2 linked regions of the Mus musculus genome follow. The protein of the gene in region 2 purifies or fractionates together with the protein of the main gene of each other region. This does not show direct contact. Links are inferred from orthologs where the notes say so. Each region holds a gene or a part of one and is shown on either strand. Other genes may lie near its edges. The genes, in order: Acad11 and Gtse1.

Region 1 (10,503 bases), on a different chromosome or scaffold from region 2:
GACTTGCAGAAAAGGCTTCAGGAATAACTAGACGTTTATATGCAGCTAGAAGTGCTTAAGAACTTATGCAAGAGAAGACTGTAGAACAAAGAACCCAAGGAAACCAGAATGATCGGAAATCCAATCCACAGGAGATGGGATTGTCTGAGCTGCGAGTGGCAGCCTGCCCAAGCTACTGACCGGTCCCTGTGGTCAGCCCAGTGTTGAGATGTTTATTTTGGATTCCTGTGTTTTCTGAGATTTCAGTAGGATTTCAGGAAAGAGACATGTTTATAATTGACCTGTGAACTCTTTTTTTTTCCCCCCCTAGATCAGGACAGTCAAACCCAACCTTCTTTCTCCAGAAAGGATCTCAAGCCTATGTTCTCAGGAAGAAACCACCCGGCTCTCTTCTTCCCAAAGCACATAAGGTATGACACAGAAGTGCAGCAGCGAGCCTTTTTTCCACCACAGGTAACCGCCTCGGAAAAGCACAAGAGCAATCGAATCTGCATTTGAAGACCTCCTCACGCAGTTACTGACTAATGCAAGCACACTTCACTTTTAATTACAAATTCACTTGGATTGCGTGTCCTTTTTTTTAAAAAAAAAAAAAAAAAAAAAAAAAAAGGATCTGCAGTTGAAGACCAAAGATGTGTTTAAACTCCCATCCCAGTGAGCTTCCTTGTTCCCTGCGGATATGTTCGCTGTTACTCATTTCTAGCTGCCTTTTTCTTTTTTCTTTCTTTTTTTTTTTTTTTTTTTTTTTTTTTTTGTCTCTGCATGCCAAGAGCATTGTCTATAATGATGGTCTTTACTTGATGAGTTTAATGTATTTACCTTGGGCATCTTATAATCATTCAGGGGTTAAAAAAAGAGAAAGACCTGAGTGTCATTGTACAGTAGGCTTTAAGGTTTAGAATCATCAGGGAAAATTAAAGAAGATGTCTGTTACAGATTAAATTTTCTAATTATTCTGAGTTGTTCACTACCTAATAAATACGTCAACCAAGTTATTGTGCTATACCTCATAAATACATACAAACATGATTTGCCAGTCAATTTTTTAAACTAAATTTTCCTGGTTGCAAAAACAGGAATTATCTCAAGATAGCAGGAAGGGACATAAATGCAAGTCCTGCAAAATGTACTAAGTACTCTGCATACGTGGGTGATACTGGCATCATGTGCTTCGTAGTCCTTCACCAGGAAAGACCACTGTGGGCGGGTTCGATATCATAGTGACAGGGGACACAGATGCTCATTTTCTTGGCTCCATCATACTCCTGACAACATGAAGTAACTTAGATGCTTACAAAAAAGGAGTTGGGTAACTTTTGTTAATGTCAACATGGCATGGCTGAAAGCAAACCCCACCCCCACCCTGCCTAGAAATGTCTACCTCAGAAGCAGTCCTCTTTGAGTCTCCTCCTGACTATGTCCCACTTGAACACCGCAGAAAGCTCTCAGCCTAAGTCCAGCTCCATAGATGTGGAGCACCTTGTCTGAACTTCCTCGGCTTTCCCCAAGGCTGTGTTTTAAAAAGCAGTGTCCCTGCTTTGCTGTTGTCCCTAACCCTTTTGCCCCTCCCTCCCCTGACACACACACACACACACACACACACACACACACACACACTCACACACTCCCTGCCATCCGCTCTCAGTTCCTGCCACATCTCTTTCAATAGCCCTCAGTGCTATGGACAGTTCCCACTTTGGGTTAATTACTTCCCTGGTCCATGACTGCATTACTCTTTGAACTCAAGCTGAGCAACATGTTTCCCCTTCCCTGGAACTGGTCAGTCACTTCTGCCCCAGTGTGGCAGGCACTTTCTACATGCACAAATCATCCTTGTTCACCCATATTACATCTCTGCTGTAAGCCACAGCCTTGGGACCTTTCTGGGTCTGCAGGTGTCCCACCCAAGGATATAAGGTTTCCTCTTCTCTTTCCTGAGCCCCAGCTTTAAGATCAACTTCTGGGCACCTGGTTCCCTTCAGTTATCTGGGTTCCCAGAACAGACCATGTACCTATAAGGGTCTTCATGCTCCTTCCTTGGAAGTTTGCTGCTCTCTTGATGATCAGAAGGAATAGGTGATTTCCCCTTCCCACAACCACTGCCTGCCTTCTCCAGCTCCTGTATCTGACTAGAGGAACTCAATCCTAAGCCTCCTGAGAACTACGAAGGGAGAGGTGAAGCCAACAAGCAGGGAACTTGTGAGAACACAGAAATGCCCTTTAACAAAAACCTGTGAAATATAGCCAGGCGGTTGCCTTTGTGCTACAAGAGCCAGTAGTAAGCCTCATGCAAATGCCTATCTTTTTACCCCAGTTAAATAAATGATCATGCTTTAGAGATGGCCTACTTTGTAATTGTAATGGCTGAACAAGCTCCTGTTAAGGGAATATTACTGTCAGCTCTGGGTTACATATTGACACATGTTGTAGCCAATAGCCTCAGTTAAGGTTAGCCCACATGTAGTTATTAAATTTCTGTTTCTGGATTTTAATAATCCTATTTAGATTGACAGAGAATTCAAGATCCAGAAAGCCTTGTTTTCCATTGGATTTCCTGTTGCCAAGCCCCTGCTATACTGCAGAGATGCTTCAGTTATCGGAACGGAATTTTATGTAATGGAACATGTGCAGGTAAGTTAACAATCTTACTTGGTTGGTGCTTTTATATTGCTAACTTGTTCTTAAATACCCCTCTAGGTGGCAGTAAAGAGCTACCAACAATTGTAGCCAAACAGGGAGATGGGGATGTGTGTGTGTTCTTATTGGGGGGAGGCACCCTTCCACATAGAAAGAACAAACCATTAAGAGCAAATTCAAATTGTTTTTAATTTGAAGATGTGGGTTACAAGCAGTTTAAAACCTTCAGGTTTAAACTGCTTCTAGCATGTCCTTGAATTTTGCCTTTGGTATGTATCCACATACACATTTCACAGACAAGCCTACGCCTAACATGCTCTGTAGTTTGCTGAGTTTGTCTGTCAGCTATTTAAAAACTGGCCATTGTGATCACTTTGATAGGGTCGGATCTTTCGTGATTTTTCCATTCCTGGAGTTAGCTCAGCAGAACGTGCTGCTATATATGTGTCTGTGGCAGAAACCCTGGCATGGCTACATTCTCTGGATATACGCTCGCTGAAGCTGGACAAATACGGTACTGGAGTCGGGTACTGCAAAAGGCAGGTAAGCCATCTGCGTCAGAATGTACTGCATGGTCTCAGAAGTAACGTACTATGAATGACTAGTGAAAGCAAGCCCTGTTTGTTATGTGGCTGTCTGAAATTTTGCCACTTAACATCTTCTTTGGTAATGTATTCAGATATCTTTTTAGCATGAAATAATGCTGGTGTGTGTGTGTGTGTGTGTGTGTGTATTTTGAGTGGATGAACCTGTATCTGCAGGTACACAAGTATGGCACATGGGTGTGGAATGAAGGCCAGGGATTCGCCTCAGCTTTCATATTCAGGAGCCATCCACCTCATTTTTTAGGTGAGGCACCTCATTGGCCTGAAGCGTTCTGATTAGGCAGTCTGACTGGCCAGTGAGCTTGAGGGCTCTTCCTGTCTCTACTCCTCACTATTAGAACTCCAGGCATATACCACCATGCCTAGCTGGCTTTCTTTGTCTTCTTTTCTTCCATCCTTCCTTATTTTCTCTTTGTCTGGGTTCTGGGGACCATGCTTAGGTCCCCATGCTTGCCCAGCAAGCCCTTTACTGACTGAGCCATCTCCTCTCCCACTAACTTTATTTTTTAGATAACTTTTGTTTAGTAAAGGCTTCCATTTCTGCTTTTCACTTGGTTTACCAGTAGATTTTCTTCTCAGTTTTCCCTTTCTAGGTTGTGCTAAGCAAAAATCTATTAAGCTTTTATCAATTTAATGCTTGCAAGATACTTTTTTAAATATCAAGAAATAAGAAATAGGTTCCTGCCCTAAAGAAGCTTGTGGCTGTTTTTAAGATGCTCATTCACGAGTCTCATATACATGAAGCTGGGGAATGGTCTATTTCCCTGAGTTTACTACCTATTAGTAAATTGTTCAGTGCTCATTGCAAGAGCTGTATGTCTAGGGCACAGGCATACATGCCTGTGCTTGGATGTGGAAAGGAACTGATATAGAGAATTAATAATGAGATGGTGACCCTTGCAACCAAATGCAGGTAAGACTAGGCACTCATGGGCTGTATTCTATTATAAGTACGCCCTTTGAGAGTGGGGTGGGAAGATATGAGAGAGTAGAGTATTCGATGTGTGCTATTGAGTGCTAAGTGAGCTGTAGACTACCTCATTTAAAAATCTCTGCAGAACTCACAAGACGGGTATTAACCTCATTTTGCAGATGAGGAATATGAAGGTTATACTGACCCGGTAATACACAAGTAAGTTCCTAGACAGTATATAAATCCCAGCCAGTGAGACCCGTGTAGGGGGATTTTGTTTGCTTCTAATTCTAAGAGCAATATAAAGTCTGCTTTACTCTTAATGGTATCTTTAAAATACTCTGTGGGTGAGGGAAAGGATGTTAAGTGAGAAAAGCTCTTTCTAGCTTTCATTGCCCCCTTTTCAGGGAGAAATTGTCTGCTTGTGGTGTGTGTACATGTGTGTGTGTGTGTGTGTGAGAGAGAGAGAGAGAGAGAGAGAGAGAGAGAGAGAGCCCAATGAGAGAGAGGGGTGAGAAACTACATGTGGTGTGTATACGTGTGTATGAGGGGTTGTTTGTATGCATTTCTGTCTTCCATGGAGTACTTACTGAGTGAAGACCATTCTTTTTGTTTGGTTGGTTGGGGTTTTTTTTTTGGTGGAGGGGGGGTTGTTTGGTTTTTTTTTGTTTTGTTTTGTTTTTGTCTTTTTGTTTTTTTGAGACAGGGTTTCTCTGTATAGCCCTGGCTGTCCTGGAACTCACTCTGTAGACCAGGCTGGCCTCGAATTCAGAAATCCGCCTGCCTCTGCCTCCCGAGTGCTGGGATTAAAGGTGTGCGCCACCACGCCCGGCTGAGTGAGGACCATTCTTGACACCTATGCCAGTGTTTTTACTTCTTGTCCAATAGAAACCTACGTAGGTAAAATGGCACAACCTGGAAGAGAAACCTGCATGTTTGGGGCTTTCGGCTGATAGGAGTGTTTCAGGCTGCTGGGAGGTGCATGTGAGCACTGTTTTGTTAAGCATTCTGGAGTAAGGTGGACTTGGGCACAGATGAAGTGGTCTTAGAGTCACGGACAACGGAACGTTCTGTCTGTACCGCTGTCCCTTCCCAGGTGTCCACCTGGACGAAGCAGTACCAGGCCTCAGCCCATCAGAGCATCCCTGCCATGGACCAGCTCTCCACGTGGCTGATGAAGAACTTGCCAGATAGTGACAGTGAGGAGTGCCTGGTCCACGGAGACTTCAAGCTGGACAACATAGTTTTCCACCCCAAAGAGGTACCGCAAGCTGTGTGTGTGTGTGTGTGTGTGTGTGTCTGTGTGTGTGTGTGTGTGTGAGAGAGAGAGAGAGAGAGAGAGAGAGAGAGAGAGAGACAGACAGACAGACAGACAGACACTGTCTAGGTCTGACCTGAGGCTCCAGAAGCAGACAGATGTCCCCCACCTGCCCCAGTGTCCTGAAGGAGCCCAGATCATTCTGTTCTTCCCCACAGCTCAGTCTGTCTCCCACTTAAAGCTTCTGGAGATGAGTCCTACAGAGTTTATGGCACCGGACTCTGCCTTTGGGCCTGGTCCCAATCTTAAACAGTAACATAGTCATCACTTAAGCAGGACTTGGAGGTTGCTGTGTGTCTCTCTTGTTGAAGAAGACTTCAATCTACTACTTTAAATGTCAGCTTCAGGCTGCAGAGATGGTTCAGGGGGTAAGAGCACTGACTGTTCTTCCAGAAGTCCTGAGTTCAGTTCCCAGAAACCACATGGTGGCTCACAACCACCTGTAATGCCGTCTTCTGGTGTGCATAAGAGAATGACAGTGTACCCATGTACATAAAATAAATAAATGAACCTTTAAAAAAAGAGCCAGCTTCATGGAATAACATGGCTGGCAGAATTCATGTCAACAAGCATTCAGTTGTGAGCAACTCTGTGCCCAGAAACATTTCTCCTAACAAGCATAAACCACAGATGGAGAGAAAAGATAACTGACAAACAGCAAGAGAGCAATTGTTATGTGCCAGCATAACACCCAAACAACCTGTACAGCTAGGCATAGAAGGAATGGCCCTGACTGGACTAACGTGAACAGGGTGGAGAGATGATGGCTCAGCAGTTAACAGCACTGGCTGCTCTCCAGCACCCGAGAATCCAGTGCCCCCTTCTGGCTTCTTCAGGCAGTGCATGTGTGTGATCCGCTTATATGCAGGCAAAGCACACATACACATAAGTGAAATTACATTTAAAATTACAGGAAAGTAATATAGAGAGGCTGGGAGCCTCTCCTCTGCACCCTTGACATAGGTCTAAACTGACCGGGCCGGTACATGGCAGATGCCCACCGTGCTCCAGTCTCCCTCCTTGCCTTTCCCGTCTGCTTCCTTCCTCTGCTTGCATCTCACCTTCTGTGAGTGCCTGCCTAGCCCTGCCTCTGGCAGCCCTTTCTACCTCCTTTGAGTTTTTACAGATTTGACTTCCCCTTCTTCGGGCTCCATGATTCCTGCATGACTGTGTGACTTTTTACCCTGCAGGTACAATGACCATAATCTGTTATTTCAAGAACTGTCTCCTTTAGTATTTATTTAATTAAAATCTTTAGATTGGCGGCATGTGTGTGAGTGAGAACGTTTCCTGAGTATAGGACATTTAATTTTTAAACCTTGAACTTAGGTTTTCAATTTTTGCAGCATACTATCATGTGAGTATAACTTCATATCTTAATCAAGTAAGACCTTTCTCCCAGTGCCTGTGGGCTGAACCTGAGCCTGGCAAGCACTTGACCAGTGACCCGTGTTTCCCAGCCCTTTCCTTACCTGTGACTCAGAGTCTGCAGTAGCCCACAACTCTACAGTACTATGTCTGAGTTTTCCAAAGAATCAAGGAAGTGAAAAACAAAGGTGCATGGAGGCTTGGAGTACCCTGACTCACAGTGTGAGTGTGAGTGTGTGTGTGTGTGTCTGTGTCTGTGTGTGTGTGTGTGTGTGTGTATATGTGTGTGTGAGTGTTTGTGTGTGTGTGTCTGTGTGTGTGTGTGTGAGTGTTTGTGCGTGCATGTGTGTGTGTCTCTCTCTGTGTGTCTATGTGTCTGTGTGTGTGTATGCATGTGTGTGTCTCTGTGTGTGTCTGTGTGCGTGCGCATGCATTCATGCATGTGTCTGTGTGTGTATGTGTGTGTCTGTGTCTCTGTGTGTCTCTCTGTGTGTGAATGTTTGTGCATGCATGTGTGAATGTTTGTGCATGCATGTGTGTCTGTGTGTGTGTGAATATGTGTGTGTGTGAATATGTGTGTGAGTGTGTGTGTGTAGGTCAGAAGACAACGTGAAGAGATTAGCTCTCTCCCGGTTATTTTATATAGCTTACTTTAAAGAATTATTGCTATAATGGTACAATATATATACATATGTATATCTATGTAGTTATTTTCATCACCAGTGCAAATACTTTCTTCCATATTAATTCTTAAAATATAAATATAATTAATCATTAGAACTTTTCTTTACCACAGTTCCTCCAGACTGAGAAGTCAGAGCTGGGTTTGCATCTGTTTGTTAGCAGAGATGTCAGGGCAGAGTGCAGGAGGATTGGCAGCCAGCAGTAGCACCAGAGGCCTTGGCTCTAGACAGTTGATGCCAGTTGGTTTCTATAAATGAGATGCACCGCCATGGGCAAAGACTACAAACTGAGGTCTGGTTGCATTTTGATGGAAATGTGGGTGAATGTACTGTGCCGTCTGCTTGCTTATTCAGTTTGTTTTGAATCCAATGTGTCTGTGTACATCTTGTTGCAGTGTCGGGTTATAGCAGTGTTGGACTGGGAGCTCTCGACCTTCGGCCATCCCTTGACGGACTTAGCCCATCTTTCCTTGTTTTACTATTGGCCCAGGACACTGCCCATGATAAACCGAGGCTCTCACATTCCAGAGAACACAGGTACAGAAGAGCAGTCATATGTAATCCTCTTTATTATTGCCAGAGCTAAAGACATAATTTGCCTGCAGTTTTATGAAGCTTTTGTTCCTTAAAAATGTTTCTAATTCATCTTACTGGTTTTCTGAACTTAGCATCTCACTTTTTATAATCTGTGACAATACACAATATTTTGCATATACTATTACTTGGGGAATCAATATTTAGAACAGGCTCAATACTGACTGCATTTGCACTGCATGCCACATTGTTTCTTCTTGCTGTATTGTGTCATTCTGAAGTGTTCTCTGTGGCATTCTTATTAAGGTGCTGTGTGCTGTTTTTCTAGGAATACCGTTGATGGAAGAACTGATTTCAATATACTGCCACCGAAGGGGAATTGATCCTAATCTCCCTAACTGGAATTTCTTTATGGCCCTCTCATTTTTTAAATTGGCTGGAATATCACAGGTAATTATCTGAAGCAAGTTTCACCATTTCTTTCTGATGTACTGTGAGCTCTGGCTTCCGGTTCAGGCTACTGTGTAGGCCATTGTGTTCTCCAAAGGTCACGTCAGATATGAGTAATGTGTAAATTTACAACAACAACAAAAAACTTCAGTGGGGAGAAAATTTGAGTATCACATGAGTTATGACTCTTGTACAGAGAAGGTCAGTGAGAGAAGATGTGATGGTGGCAGGAGAGTCGGGAGAAGCGCGTGGTGGGAAAGACCACGGTGCGCCTGCAGGAAAAGCAAGCCAAAATCCTCTGTTGAAGACTGAAAAGTCTTCTCCCTTTGTTTAGTCTCGGGGCCACCCAGGGAATGGTGACACCTGGTTCATCCAGGGCGGGTCTTCCCAACACAGATAGATCTTTCTAGAAATGTACACATGACCACACCCAGAAGCCTGATTCCACGATGATTCCAAAGCCAATCAAACTGGGTGTGTTAGGTTGGGAGCACGGAAGTGGGGAGTTGTGAAAGAGCTGCTGGCCATTCAGGTCACACTGCTCAAAGGACAGGTTTACTCAAACTAGGAATCAAACATGATATTGAATAGGAAAAGTCATCTCATGGCCTTCCCCTTGGTGTTGGTGTCTGAGTCCATTTTGATCGCTGTGAAGAGAAACAGTTATCAGTACAGATGCTGTGACCTGCAGGTGGCCTTGTTTGGGGCAGTGGCTCATTTTCAAGTTTGGTTTGAGTCATTGGTTATACTTCTGCCTGGATGAGAGTGTCACAACTATGTGATATGAGTGTGACTCTAACTCAGAGCCATACAGTGTCCTCTGCAAGTATGTTCCTGGTCTCCATGGTCTGACTGACGTCTGGAGTCCGTGAATTTAGTTCCCCATATGGATCACACACTGGAAAGACTAATTGGGTAGCCGGGGATCGTTTTCAATGAACTTTAATTGTCCCATGTTAATTTACTTGTAGGGAGTCTATCGTAGATACCTCATGGGAAATAACTCATCTGAGGATAGCTTCTTAACTGCCAATACTGTGCAACCTCTGGCAGAAACTGGATTGCAGCTGTCAAAAAGGTAAGGGAAGCATATTCTCTGGGTAATTCAACTGGCTTGGTCTCCTAAGACCGCAGAGTCAGGAGACAGTCTGGGTTCGTCCAGTTAAATAGTCACTGGATGTGAGAAGGTTAAAATGTTAAGAAAATGGAAATGATATCTCTGCCCAGACTAGGGCTGCTTTGCCAGTCAGGATAGTTTTCTAGTAAGTCACTATATACCTAAAAAGATATTGACTTAAAAATGAAAAAAAAATTGCCCATATTTATGATTAAGTGTATTCTTTGCCACTTTGAATGTATAACCTTTTAAATACATAGGTGAATATAGTTTCTTATATTTGTTACACATACCTATTTAAATGATATTATTATATTTATTAACTTAGCAATACTACTTTTTCTTCAACATTTTGCAAGTGTCTTTGAAACTATGTGTGTATCCGGGCAGCATTTCTGAGGGGTCCCACATACCTTTCCAGCTGCACTTCTGCTCCTTATACAATGGATGAATACTTCTAACCCCAGCGACATGTTCTAAGCCTCACTTCCCATGGAATGATTGGTTTGGATTTTTTTTATTATTTGTTTATTTATTTTATATATTTGAGTACACTGTAGCTGTCTTCAGACACCCCAGAAGAGGACATCAGATTCCATTACAGATGGTTGTGAGCCACTGTGTCATTGCTAGGAATTGAACTCAGGACCTCTAGAAGAGCAGTCAGTGCTCTTAACCATTGAGCCATCTCTCCAGCCCCAGGATAATTGTTTTTTATAACTCATTTCTAGACTGCTCTGTGTGATTTTTCCAACAGAGCAAGGCTTCACTGTGTTTCTTATTAGGCTTCTATTAAAACACCCGGCAGTGCTGTCTGGAAAATGTGTGAAGAATACGGGTCAGATTTACAGCAGACAGCCCTGAAGCTAGCACTGTGT
Region 2 (10,956 bases):
CTATAGGCTCAGTAGCAGCTTTAATACATGCTTTCTAATAGGCAGCTCAGAGTACCAGAAAGGTGACAGTCTCTATGTCTGTGAGCTCTGAACACAGAACACAAAACCCAATACCTCAAGTTCCCATAGAGGCGGAGGGATCAGTGAGAATCAGCTGCTGGGAACAACAGCCCAAGTGACAAGGCCAGTTCACTGCACATGGCCAGGCCTGTCCTCTCCGCAGTCTAACACACACACACGAAGATTAGGGGACAATTGCAGATGACTTCCCATTCTTACATTTACTTTGGATACAGGGTCTCACTGTGTAGTCCCGGTTGGCCTAGAACCCACTATGCAGACCAGGTAGAGACCCACCTGCCTCTGCCTCCAAGTGCTAGGACTAAAGGCATACACCACCACCATGGCCAGCTACTGTGTAGTTTTAAAGACAGGGTCTCTGGCTGGCCTGGCACTCACCAAGTTGGCTAAGCTGGCTAACCAACAAGCTAACCCCAGGGATCCAAGTGTCCTCTGCCTCCCCAGTGCTGGGATTCCTGGTACCCCACCACACAAGGCTTTTAAAATGTGAGTCCTAGGGTTTAACTTATGTCCATGCATTTATTAAATAAAAACAAAACAAAACCTTGAAGACCTAATTGTAATCAAGATACTAAACTGGCAACACGTTCCTATAGAACAAGTGGCAGCCCTGTAGTGCCAGCCAACTCACCTTGCCAGGAATGGGGAGTGACCGCTTGCCTGGGTGGCCTTCTCGACTGGCAGCATCTGGAGCTGTGCTGGGTTTGTCCTGGAGCACGTCACTCTGGGATCCCTTTTCATTCACGAGTTTCGTCCTCTGAATGCTGGCTGGCACCTCTTTTTTGAGCTGAAAATGTCGATTTGAGAGGTGAAGACTACCTGGTCTGACAATTCCAGAGCTGGCACCGCTCATCCTGGATGCTGCCCCTCTCAACCCATCCACTAGTGTGAGAGAAGGAGCACTGAGATGAGACTGGACCTCCTCACTGAAGCAGTGTCAAGACTAGGGCAGGCGGCCTGCAGAAGGATCTCCAAGGCTCCTCCTTTGTCAGGCCCTGACTTAAGAGTGCCATCGAGGGGTCCAGACATATGGTACATGCCTCTAATTCCAGCACCTGGAGGCTAAGGCAGGCAGACTTCTGTAGGTTCCACAAAGCCAGCCTGGTCTACACAGTGAGTCCCATGGCAGTTACATAGTGGAACCCTGTCTCGAAAACAAACAAACAAGCCTATACTCTCTGGCCTGCAAGCCCAGAGCAAAGCCCTGACATAGTGATGCAAGGGCATCAGGACCTTCTCCTCGTGCACACGCAGCAAGGATGTCGAGAAGGAAGGCGGTGCAAGCAGTCGCTTCAGTGTGAGGCCAACAGCAATGCTCCCCTTGTAGCGCTTCCTGTGACCCGAAGCTCCCCCCTGGGACAGACTCAGTGATACTGTCATTCTTTTACTAAAAAAACCTATGCCACTATCGGATGTGTCGTTTTAGCTATCTGTTCATCGGTTAATGGGCATCTGGGCTGGCTCCATTTGTTGGCAATTCTGCGGTTGTGAAAACCTCGTGTTAAGCTGGTTGATGACACTACAATCCTGCCTGGTATCCTGCATGTGCTGTGACCCACAGCCATGCATGGATCACACACAAATTCTGTTCCATATCCACGTGCTGCTAGCAATCCCACCCAGGGTGTCTTGGTGTCAGATGTGGTCAGGAGAGGGCTCACAGATGGGGAGAGGGGCCGTGCAGGGCTTCACCTTCCCACCACCTCACCGTCATTCCTTTAACTGTACCCTCAGTACAAATGAGGCTGCTATGGGGCTGCTTGGCCCTACACTCTAGCGAGCCTTTACTCTGTGTTTCCTCTCGGGAGACCTCCGTCCCCCTCCTCTGCAAACCTGGAAGTAAGTTATCTCTGACATCTGCCTTTCTACCTACCCCCAACTAGGCCTCCAGGGCCCTGAGTTTCCCACAACTGGTCAACTGCCATTTCCCTGACATTCATGTAATACCCGGGCAGAAGAAGTATAAAGTCCCAGCCATAGAGAACAGCCAGAGCCCAATGTGAGGGGCAGTGCTCCCCAGAGGGGCCCGGCCGGGCAGCTCCCCATCACTGCTGCCTTCGCTGTCCAGATTCTGGTTCTATTCTGGGCTTTCCAGTGCTCAGAGCGCTGCCCCTCCCGAGAGGCTTCCCTGGCAGGGCATGGGCTGAAGAGAGGCAAGGAGGCTGTGTACATCGCAACTGTACTATGCCTGGGTTTACCTTCTCTGTAGCCAGGTGAAGGTTTCTTCCTCTCACAGGCAAAGCCCGAGGTGGCTGGAGCTTGCTGGTGATCCTCTTTTGAGGCCCAGCCTGACTTGGAGGCTGGGAGGTACTTGATTCTCTTGGCAACGGCTGAGAGGAACAGGGCAGACCCTGGTTGCTCTGGGTCTGAGCAGGGCCTGCTGAGACAGGGGAGCTGAGCAGGCCTGGAGAAGCCAGGAGCTGGGGCTCCCCCATGGGCGGTTGCACCCTCGAGGATGGCAGGCAGAATGTCTCTCTTTTAAGTGACATGGGACTTCTGTCTCTCTTCTGTTCTTTCTCAAAGAGGCTTACTTTTAACTGTGAGTCCTGCACAAACGTTTCCTTGCCCTGGTTCACAGGATTTTGGGGCGTGGCAGCCTGGGCCACCTCTCTTCGGCTGTGACTTTCTATCTGTAAGGCCAGTAAGTGGGCTTCTTTGTACACCTCCACAAACTTCTCCCCAGTGAGAGGGCTCAAGGTGCAAGGGCTACCAGAGCCCGGGGCAAGAGGCTGCCCAGGAACCCGGCGGTTTAAGTCCAAACTGGCAGCAATGCATCTTTCTTTATGTCCAACAGGCCCAAAAAAGACTTCATCATCTTCATTTGTGCTGCGTTTAAAGAAAAAGATTATCAGGGCTGAAATCACACCAGCATCTAGGCGAGGGGCTTTGATGAACCTGTCTATACCAGGGGTTAGGGAAGAAAACGCATGTTTACCTTGAAGAAGACAAGGAAAGATCGAAGTCAAATTTTTCATCTTCCAAAAGAAGAAAGTCTGGGGTGGGGATGGGGAGAAAAAGTTCAGTTATTTTAGGGTAACATAAAACAGGAAAGCACTGGTTTCACAGTTGCTATGAATCTCTCAGTAAAGTAATAGATTGTTGCCTGAATTCAATCAATTGTCATGGGCACCTCAAGTCCTTCTTATTTCCCATTTCCACTCTCAAGTTCCAGGAGCCACTCTGAGTGCACTGATCCACCATCAAAACACAGAACCTTACCTCTATGATAGAATCTAGGGTTTCCAAGAAGGCTAAGTCACCTTCAGGCACAGGCTATTTTCTAAAGATCAACTACTTTAGCTAGCCTGGAATTCAATTATGAGACATCTATCAGCGATGAGTTCAAAGATGGTTCAAACTCACAGTAGAGACCAACGAGTATCTGTGGAGCACCACTGCTCCTCGGGTCCCTTTCCAAAAAAACAAAACAAAAAAGAAAACAAAACAAAAAACAAAAACAAAAAAAACCCCAAAACCTAAACCAAAACCACCAACAAAAATTTTGCTCTGCCTATCCACATTCCTAGCATAGCCTTGGTTGAACCAACTGTGGATTTATTCAGCTCTCTCTCACAGACCAGCCACTTCCCAGTAGTACTTAAAGGTCTGCTTCACCGGAGGGAACCTACATAATTCAGGACAAAATCCTAAGGTGGAGGAAGGTCATAGGCTTCATTAAGGATGCACGTTACAGCCTGGTTAAGTTGCATTCTAAACCTTTATGTTTATGCTCATAAATTACTGGACTGGGCTGCCAGCCTAGGTCATTAGAGGTGCTTCTTATAATGGGCATCACTGTGTTAAGCAGTCTCCTAAGGTGTCAAAGAGGATACATAACCTGATAGGGTGCAAAGGCCCAGTGCTCAGCCCTAAAAGGGAGAAAATAATTGTAAACCCACATCAACCCTCTAAGACTCAGGGGAGCAAAGTTACTTCCCACCACATCTGATGACCTGAGTTCAAGCCCTGGGACCCTCAGGTGCTTGCACACCTTGGTTACCACCCCCAAACACACACATACACATACACACACACACACACACACACACACACACAAACCAAGTCATCGTAAAGATTCCTCCTCCCCTCTTTTAGACAGGGTTTCACTGTGTAGGTTTACAAAGAGAACTAACTGTTCTGGAACTCACTCTGTCGACCAGGCTAGGCTAGCCTTGAAATAAAACTCAAGAGATCTGCCTGCCTCTGCAGTTGGGGCATTAAAGGCGTGTGCAGCCACCACGTAGCAAGTCTTGCTTTTCAAAGAATTTGCCAGCACTCAGAAGGCTTCCGAAGGTGGCTCTCGATGAATTCAAGGCCAGCCTGGACTACAGAGTGAGTTCCGGGTTACAAAGTGAGGGCTCAAAAAAACAAGCAAGAAAGGAAAAGCAAACAAAGTAAGTCAGTGGAGGAGAAAAGAATGAACCACAGGGGAATGGGTGGAGTGAGGGACTCTGCGCTCAGTGCAAGAGAAAGCTGTTGCCATTTTGATAGCACAGCAACTGTGATTAACCACAGGAGACCCTCACAAGATTAAGACCCCCACTTAAAGCCCTTCTGGAAGTGGGGGGAGGCCCCTCTTAAGATTACATAAGTGGTTTTAAAAAGTGGGTGGGGATGTTGTAGGGGCTTCTTTGGTGGTGGAGCTATGAATTGCTAATGTCCTTGTAAGTAACTTCAGTTAAATTTATTTGCTTATCAATCCAGACTTCGTTTCTTTGATCTGTTGTAGCCCTCTCTATTTTGTTTGGGGTGAAAAGGAATACACTCCAGAACAGCCTTACGAACAGAAAGGACTTACCTTCTTTTTTACTACCAGCATCCATCTTCACCTCTCTCTCCACTGGTTGGCCGAAGGCACGTCGCGGCCGTCTCCTCCTTCCACAGAGTTCGCTGCAGGAAGCAAGGGGACGGGAGAATTAGGCAAGTCAGAGGCAAGCCCCAACTTGCTCCCGGTTTCCCAGACTGTGCGCCCCGAGGCGGGGTAACGGATTTCCGGCTCTGAGCTGCAGAGCTGGCACCGCAGCCCGTCCTCCCCGGATCTCTGCGGCTCGGGACCCGGTTCCCCACTCTCCGGGACCAGCGCTACGACCACTCCTTACCCCTCGCCTCTGACCGGGAAGGCATAAAATCCAGCTGGGTCTCCGGCACCGGTTTAAACGCGGCGCCCGGCTCCGCCGGCCGCCGATTGGCCTGTTTAAACAGGAGACGCTCTCGGTGCAGCCTGGGAAATGTAGTCAGAGTGCTGATGTACAAGACCAATGCCCAAGACTCCAAGCCACGGATTGGCTCCGCTGGGCGCAGGAAACTCCCACCGGAAGTTCCCATGACTCTCCTCCTCCGGAGACACAGAAAGGATTTAAGCGTTCCGCCTGTGGCTGTGCTAGCAAAAGGGACCGAGGCGGTGATGGTGGGGCATAGGAGATGGTCAGGCAGCTAGGAAGGAATTTGTCCCGACTCTCTCCGGTGCTTGTCCTGGTATCTCCAGTATTTCTCATGCGTCCGGGTACTCTCTGCAGCCTAAGGCCTCTCTCCTGTACTCTGGTGTGCAGGCCCTCCCTTTTCCCTCAAATGCAGAAGAGTGACAGAGCCGGTCTTAGCACTTCTTTGCTGCCAATATGTTAGATGCCTTTGGATAGCAATGAGCAGGAAACTGGCTTCAAGGTCTGTTGGTTCAAGGAAGTCCAGGGTTGGCCTGGATAGCCATCAAGAAGGCCATCAAGTCTGGATGTCGTCTCTACACATCGGCCAGGTCTGGCTCACTAGTAGGCAAGCTGGCTTCGTCGGACCCAAGGTTCCCACCGGCTGGGGATGGTGACCGGTTCTGTGTATCTGGAATTTTAAGGGCCAGGCTTTTCTGATTCACACCGGGGGCGGGAGGGGGGGGCGCAAGACCACGGTGGCAGTCACATCTGTGGTCCAAGCCTTTAGCTCCTGTGCATGAAATCCCTGCATCCCTGGGGCTATCCACTGGGCAGTAAAGTTCACCAACACTTCTCTTTGTATCATATCAGGTCATAGTAGATGTTCAGGAAAGCATACCCATAGTAACTCACTGCTATTTACATTTTCTCTTGGCTTTAAAAATATTTTTATTTTATTTTTTTTGCCGACGTGTGCGTATGTACAGGTATGCAAGTGCCTACAGAGGCCAGAAGAGAGTGTCAGGTCCCTTGAGGCTAGATTTACAGGCTCTACGTGGGCGCTAGGTACTGATCTCTGGTCATCTGGAAGAACGGCAAGTGCTCAGCCATGGAGCCATCTCTCCAGACGCATACACATTTCCCTTTAAGATCAGTCGCCTGTCCCTGGCAGATGCATGCCTTCTTTCATGAAAGCCTACACATACCAGCTTTTACAGACAAGGCATTCAATGGAAGCCATTGAATACCAGAGATCACAGCACAAAGTGGTTCAATAGCAAGGGCAAGTGCCAAGGGCTATGGGGCAAAGAGAAGGCACTGTCACCAGCCCACAGGCAGGGTGGAAGGCTTTCTGAAAGAGACAGAGAGCAAGACTCCGCTTCTGGCTGAATCATGTATTATTTGGAATCATATACATAATGAGGACTAATGAGGAGGTTCCCCCTTGGCACCTGTCCCCAGGCTCCCTGATATGGAGACAGTACCTCTTCAAATCCTATGGCGATTACACAATTTCTTGACTTGCTGCCTCATCCAGCTAAGATTAGAGAAGCCCATCTCCCTAGGACGCAACCCAAACCTGGCACTTGGGAGCTGCTCAGAGGTTCCCATAGGAGAGGGTAGTCAACGGGACCAATTGTTTTAATGAATGCCCAAAACCTGTCCAGTCCTCAGCAGACTGCAGGGACTCTGAGCAGGCTAAGCAAAGATCTGGTTTGGAGACCTCCAACCCACTCCCCACTCCCACCTGCCCATCAGTCCCTACTTAAGTAGGAACTGCATCAACTTCCAGGAGGGATGTCCCTGTCACAGAAGCAGGAGATGGGCTTAAACCTCGTGATGGCTATGTCACTTATCTGGTTATTTGCCACAGCAGAGCAGCCCTAAGCTGGTGTAGTGGTTTGAATAGGTTTGGTCCCCATGGACTCAACACTTGGCTCATAGGGAGCGACAAGTTGGTTTTTGTTTTTTTTTTTTGTTTGTTTGTTTGTTTGTTTTTTGGTTTTTTTTTTTTTTTTTGGTTTTTTCGAGACAGGATTTCTCTGTATAGCCCTGACTGTCCTGGAACTCACTTTGTAGACCAGGCTGGCCTTGAACTCAGAAATCCGCCTGCCTCTGCCTCCTAGGGAGTGACAAGTATTAGGAGGTGTGTACTTGTTGGAGGAAGAGTGTCACTGTGGGGGCAGACTTTGAGGGCCTAGCTCCACCCAGTGCAGAAGGGACCCTCCTGCTGGCTGCAAGAAGATGGTCTCCTTTTGGATGCCTGTAGCTCAAGATGCAGAACTCTCAGCTCCTCCTGCACCATGCCTGCCTGGATGCCGCCACGCTTCCCACCATGATGATAATGGACGGAACCTCTGAAACTGTCAGCCAGCCCCAAATAAAGGTTTTCCTTTGTAAGAGTTGCCTTGGTCATGGCGTCTCTTCACAGCAATAGAACCCCGACTAAGACAGCTGAGGGTCTCACACCCACTCTCAGGAGCAGAATCGGAGCTAGCCAAGGAAGCCACATCCCTCAAGATTTACTCCCAAGTGAAGTCTAAAGAGAAGCTCCAGTTGGCACCACCAAGTCCCCCAGGGAGGCAGAAGGCATTCTTCCCCTCGTCTCTGGGGACGGTGGCAGGTGCAGTTGTCTGGGGCTGACAACCAAAGCCAACGAGACAGGATACCCTCCCCCCAGAAAGGAAATGCCCCTGCTCACTGGGACCCCAGGCAGCTCTCTGGAATCCTCCCCAGGGAAATGGGACAGCAGGACCTGTGCAGAATATAAGGAAAACTAAATGGAAAGGATTCACTAGTGCAGTGTGTGTGTGTACGAGTGCGTGCGCATGTGCACACACATAGACTTCTAGACCTCCCAGCTGACCTGGCCACATCTCTTCGCTGCCTGCCGACTTCAGAACAAGAAAATACAATGTTCAAGGCACCTGAAAATGATAGCCACTGCTTTGGTTCTGGAGGCTTAAAAAACGCATGTTGGCCCTGAGAGGAATTCTGAACATCACTCAAAATTAACTTGGGTTCCCTACTTTGACCAAACTACTGATTTGGAGAATTCTGCTCAGGACTGAACTTTAACCTCTGATAAACAAACCCAGCTGTTTCCTAACCGTACCCTAACCCAACCAGGCAGTCAACCTCACGCCAGGAGGTCAGTGTTGAGCTGTAGGCTAAGGACCTGGCGGTTTCTACTGCATAAGATGGACAGCGGCCGCCCTTCGGATCAGCCGCTCCGTCAGGGGTGAGTTGGGTTTCAAGGCGTCACGCTCCATCAGAAGGCTCCTGTGGAAACACACAGAGTTTTTGTTATAGAACCTTCTAGAAGGACGTGCGAATATGACTGGCCGGGGCAAGATGGGTCCAGCCATCTGGGCAGTACTCTGATTTTCCATGAGAGATAAACACTAGAGCTGAGGACTCCAGTGTAGGTCTATCACGGTGGCGTTGTCTGTCTTAGGGAAAGCCATGGCTCAAGACCTCATAGCTCATGCTTCTGTCACCATCTAAGGCTAATTATGAGAGGGACCAGGAAGCCACATGTGAGACTGGTCCAGGAAAAGCAAATGAAAGAGTTGGGGTGGGGAGCCTTAACTAAAGCAAGACCAGGACCCATCAGGAGGTAAAGCCCCTACTGTGGCTGGATGCTGGGGCCTCCTTGATTAGCCCATATGAGTCTTGTGTCTGAACCACATGTCACCTGTGTTTGCTTTGTTTTGGTCACACACCAAGGAGATTAAGAGAGACACAGATGGTGGCTCTGAGGGCAGTAAGTGTTGTTAAGGGGCTGGGGCTTAGGACTCGGGGGACCACACCCCAGCCAATATAGACTGTATCAGTTCACTTTCTGCTGCTAAAACAATTTGTGCGAGGCTGGGCACTTTGCAAAATTGAAGGTTTTATTTAGCTAGGTTCCAGAGACTGGAAGTCCAAGATGGAGGCCTTACCTGGCTTCATATTAGGCTGCCTGGCTGTGTGAACAACGGAGGTGGGGGGGGGGAGCAAATGACCATGCACGAGAGACTAAGCAGAGTGGCTTTGTTCTATAACGGTTCTTCTGTGAAGAGCACTAACTGGGGCCCCCTGAGAACTTTAACATCTTCTGAGGGTGGGGCCCAGGAGGAGCTCTCCTCTCTCCACCCTCTTTTTCTCAACACTTCCAAAGTTAGGAACACACATGCAGCCATGGAACCCCGGGCCACACTCAAACCACCTAAAACCACAGCAGCGGGTTCTTGCCTCTGAAAGGCATGGGCTGCATACAGAGGCAAACACTTGGAAGGATGCCCCATCCCTGCAGTGTCTTCCCAGGCAGCTGTGCCACCTCTCACCCCTGCACTACCTCCTGTCTGCAGCTTAGGACCCAAGTATCTGCTCCAGCATGGGCCGCCATGCTGCACCCAAGAATCTTCCCCAGCTCAACCCTCGGGCCCCTCCTCTGACCAGAGCCCACGTTCTCCTGACTGTGACCACCTTTTACCCACAGCAGGTCCCCAGAGGCTCAACCTCTATCCCTCTCCCTCTCTCTGAGACAGGGTTTCTCTGTGTAGCCCCGGCTGTCCTGGACCTCACTCTGTAGACCAGGCTAGCCTGAGACTCAGAAATCGGCCAGCCTCTGTCTCCCAAGCGCTGGAATTAAAGGCATGCTCCATCACTGCCTGTCGGCGCATGTGTGCCTCTTTGCATATAGATGCGGAGTAACAAAAACAGGGACATGTTCCCGTGGCATTTCTGAGTTCAAAGTAGTTCAAATGTTCCTGCCCATCCCCTGGCACTGCTGTGGGCGTCTGACCTATCGCCCAGGGCACCTGCCTAAAGTGCTTCTCACAGGACGAGGACCCAGGAGCCCTCTCCTTGGCAGGGTGGGTGATGAGCCAGGGAAAGGAAGGATAATGGTTAGGGCTGCAGGGGATCCTTTATTGGTTGACCCAGTCACCCCCAGTTTCTAGGTTGTCGATTTCTCTCCTAACCAGGCATTTAGCCTTCCCTTCACACCTCTATGGGAAACCCTTATGGTCCTCCACATCCTCACCAGCTCCACCACCACCTTTCCCCTGACCACAATTATATAACTGCCAGAATTTTGCTTGTGAACTGGTTTTTTCATGGGTTCTGCAAAGCCAAGGCCTCTATCCATCTACTCAGCACTGCGTCCCACATCCAGCACAGGTAGGTAAGAGACTGTAAGCTAAGGTCTAATGGAGCAGACAAGAAAAGGAGACAAGCTGTCCCAGGAAGAGGGCATAGCATATGCCAAAGACCTAAGAGCAGGTGCGCACTGGCTCTCTGTAATTCAGCGCAGGCTCACTGGCTCGCTGTGTAGTTCATCATGGCTAAACTGAGAAGTGAGCTGGGGAGGCAGGAGGCTGGGCAAAGCAAAGCACTGGCTGGGTGCTGGTACCGTCCCGGCACTTGGGAAGCAGAGGCAGGCGGATCTCTGGATTCGAAGCCAGCCTGGTCTACAGAGCAAGTTCCAGCCGGGGCTACACAGAGAAACCCTATGTCAAACCTCCTCCCCCGCATTGGCTTGGCTGTCTCCCTTTGTCGAGTTGAGCCTGCTAGTGGAAGAAAACCAGATCCCCAGCTCGCCTCTTGCTTTCCGAACCCCAAAAGCAGAAGCGTGCATGCCGAGGCAGGTGTATGCACAGGGAGACCACGTGCAGGGGATCCTCCTGTGCCTGGCTGGAGGAAGGGCCAAGTGCTCACCGGGCTACATTCTTGTGTACACTGGAGGTGC

Evidence for each region.
Region 1: the proteins of Gtse1 (region 2) and Acad11 purify together in Homo sapiens (co-immunoprecipitation; 3 studies listed by BioGRID and IntAct, counting the BioPlex papers as one, with this or other methods). This does not show direct contact. The link is inferred for Mus musculus from reciprocal best matches to the Homo sapiens genes GTSE1 and ACAD11.

The regions. Positions count from the first base shown.
Region 1 is NC_000075.6:104,073,312-104,083,814, forward strand, and holds part of Acad11 (acyl-CoA dehydrogenase family member 11), read left to right. Parts: intron 1-310; coding exon 311-410; intron 411-2,505; coding exon 2,506-2,631; intron 2,632-3,018; coding exon 3,019-3,180; intron 3,181-5,251; coding exon 5,252-5,416; intron 5,417-7,919; coding exon 7,920-8,061; intron 8,062-8,386; coding exon 8,387-8,508; intron 8,509-9,479; coding exon 9,480-9,586; intron 9,587-10,503. UniProt on the Homo sapiens protein: Acyl-CoA dehydrogenase, that exhibits maximal activity towards saturated C22-CoA.
Region 2 is NC_000081.6:85,854,019-85,864,974, reverse strand, and holds the start of Gtse1 (G2 and S phase-expressed protein 1), read right to left. Parts: upstream 5,269-10,956; 5' UTR 5,181-5,268; intron 5,030-5,180; exon of another isoform or gene 4,972-5,029; 5' UTR 4,905-4,971; coding exon 4,880-4,904; intron 3,075-4,879; coding exon 3,017-3,074; intron 2,908-3,016; coding exon 2,280-2,907; intron 869-2,279; coding exon 713-868; intron 1-712. Other genes in the region: Ttc38 (tetratricopeptide repeat protein 38), read right to left, coding at 8,411-8,504, 10,926-10,956. UniProt on the Homo sapiens protein: May be involved in p53-induced cell cycle arrest in G2/M phase by interfering with microtubule rearrangements that are required to enter mitosis. Overexpression delays G2/M phase progression.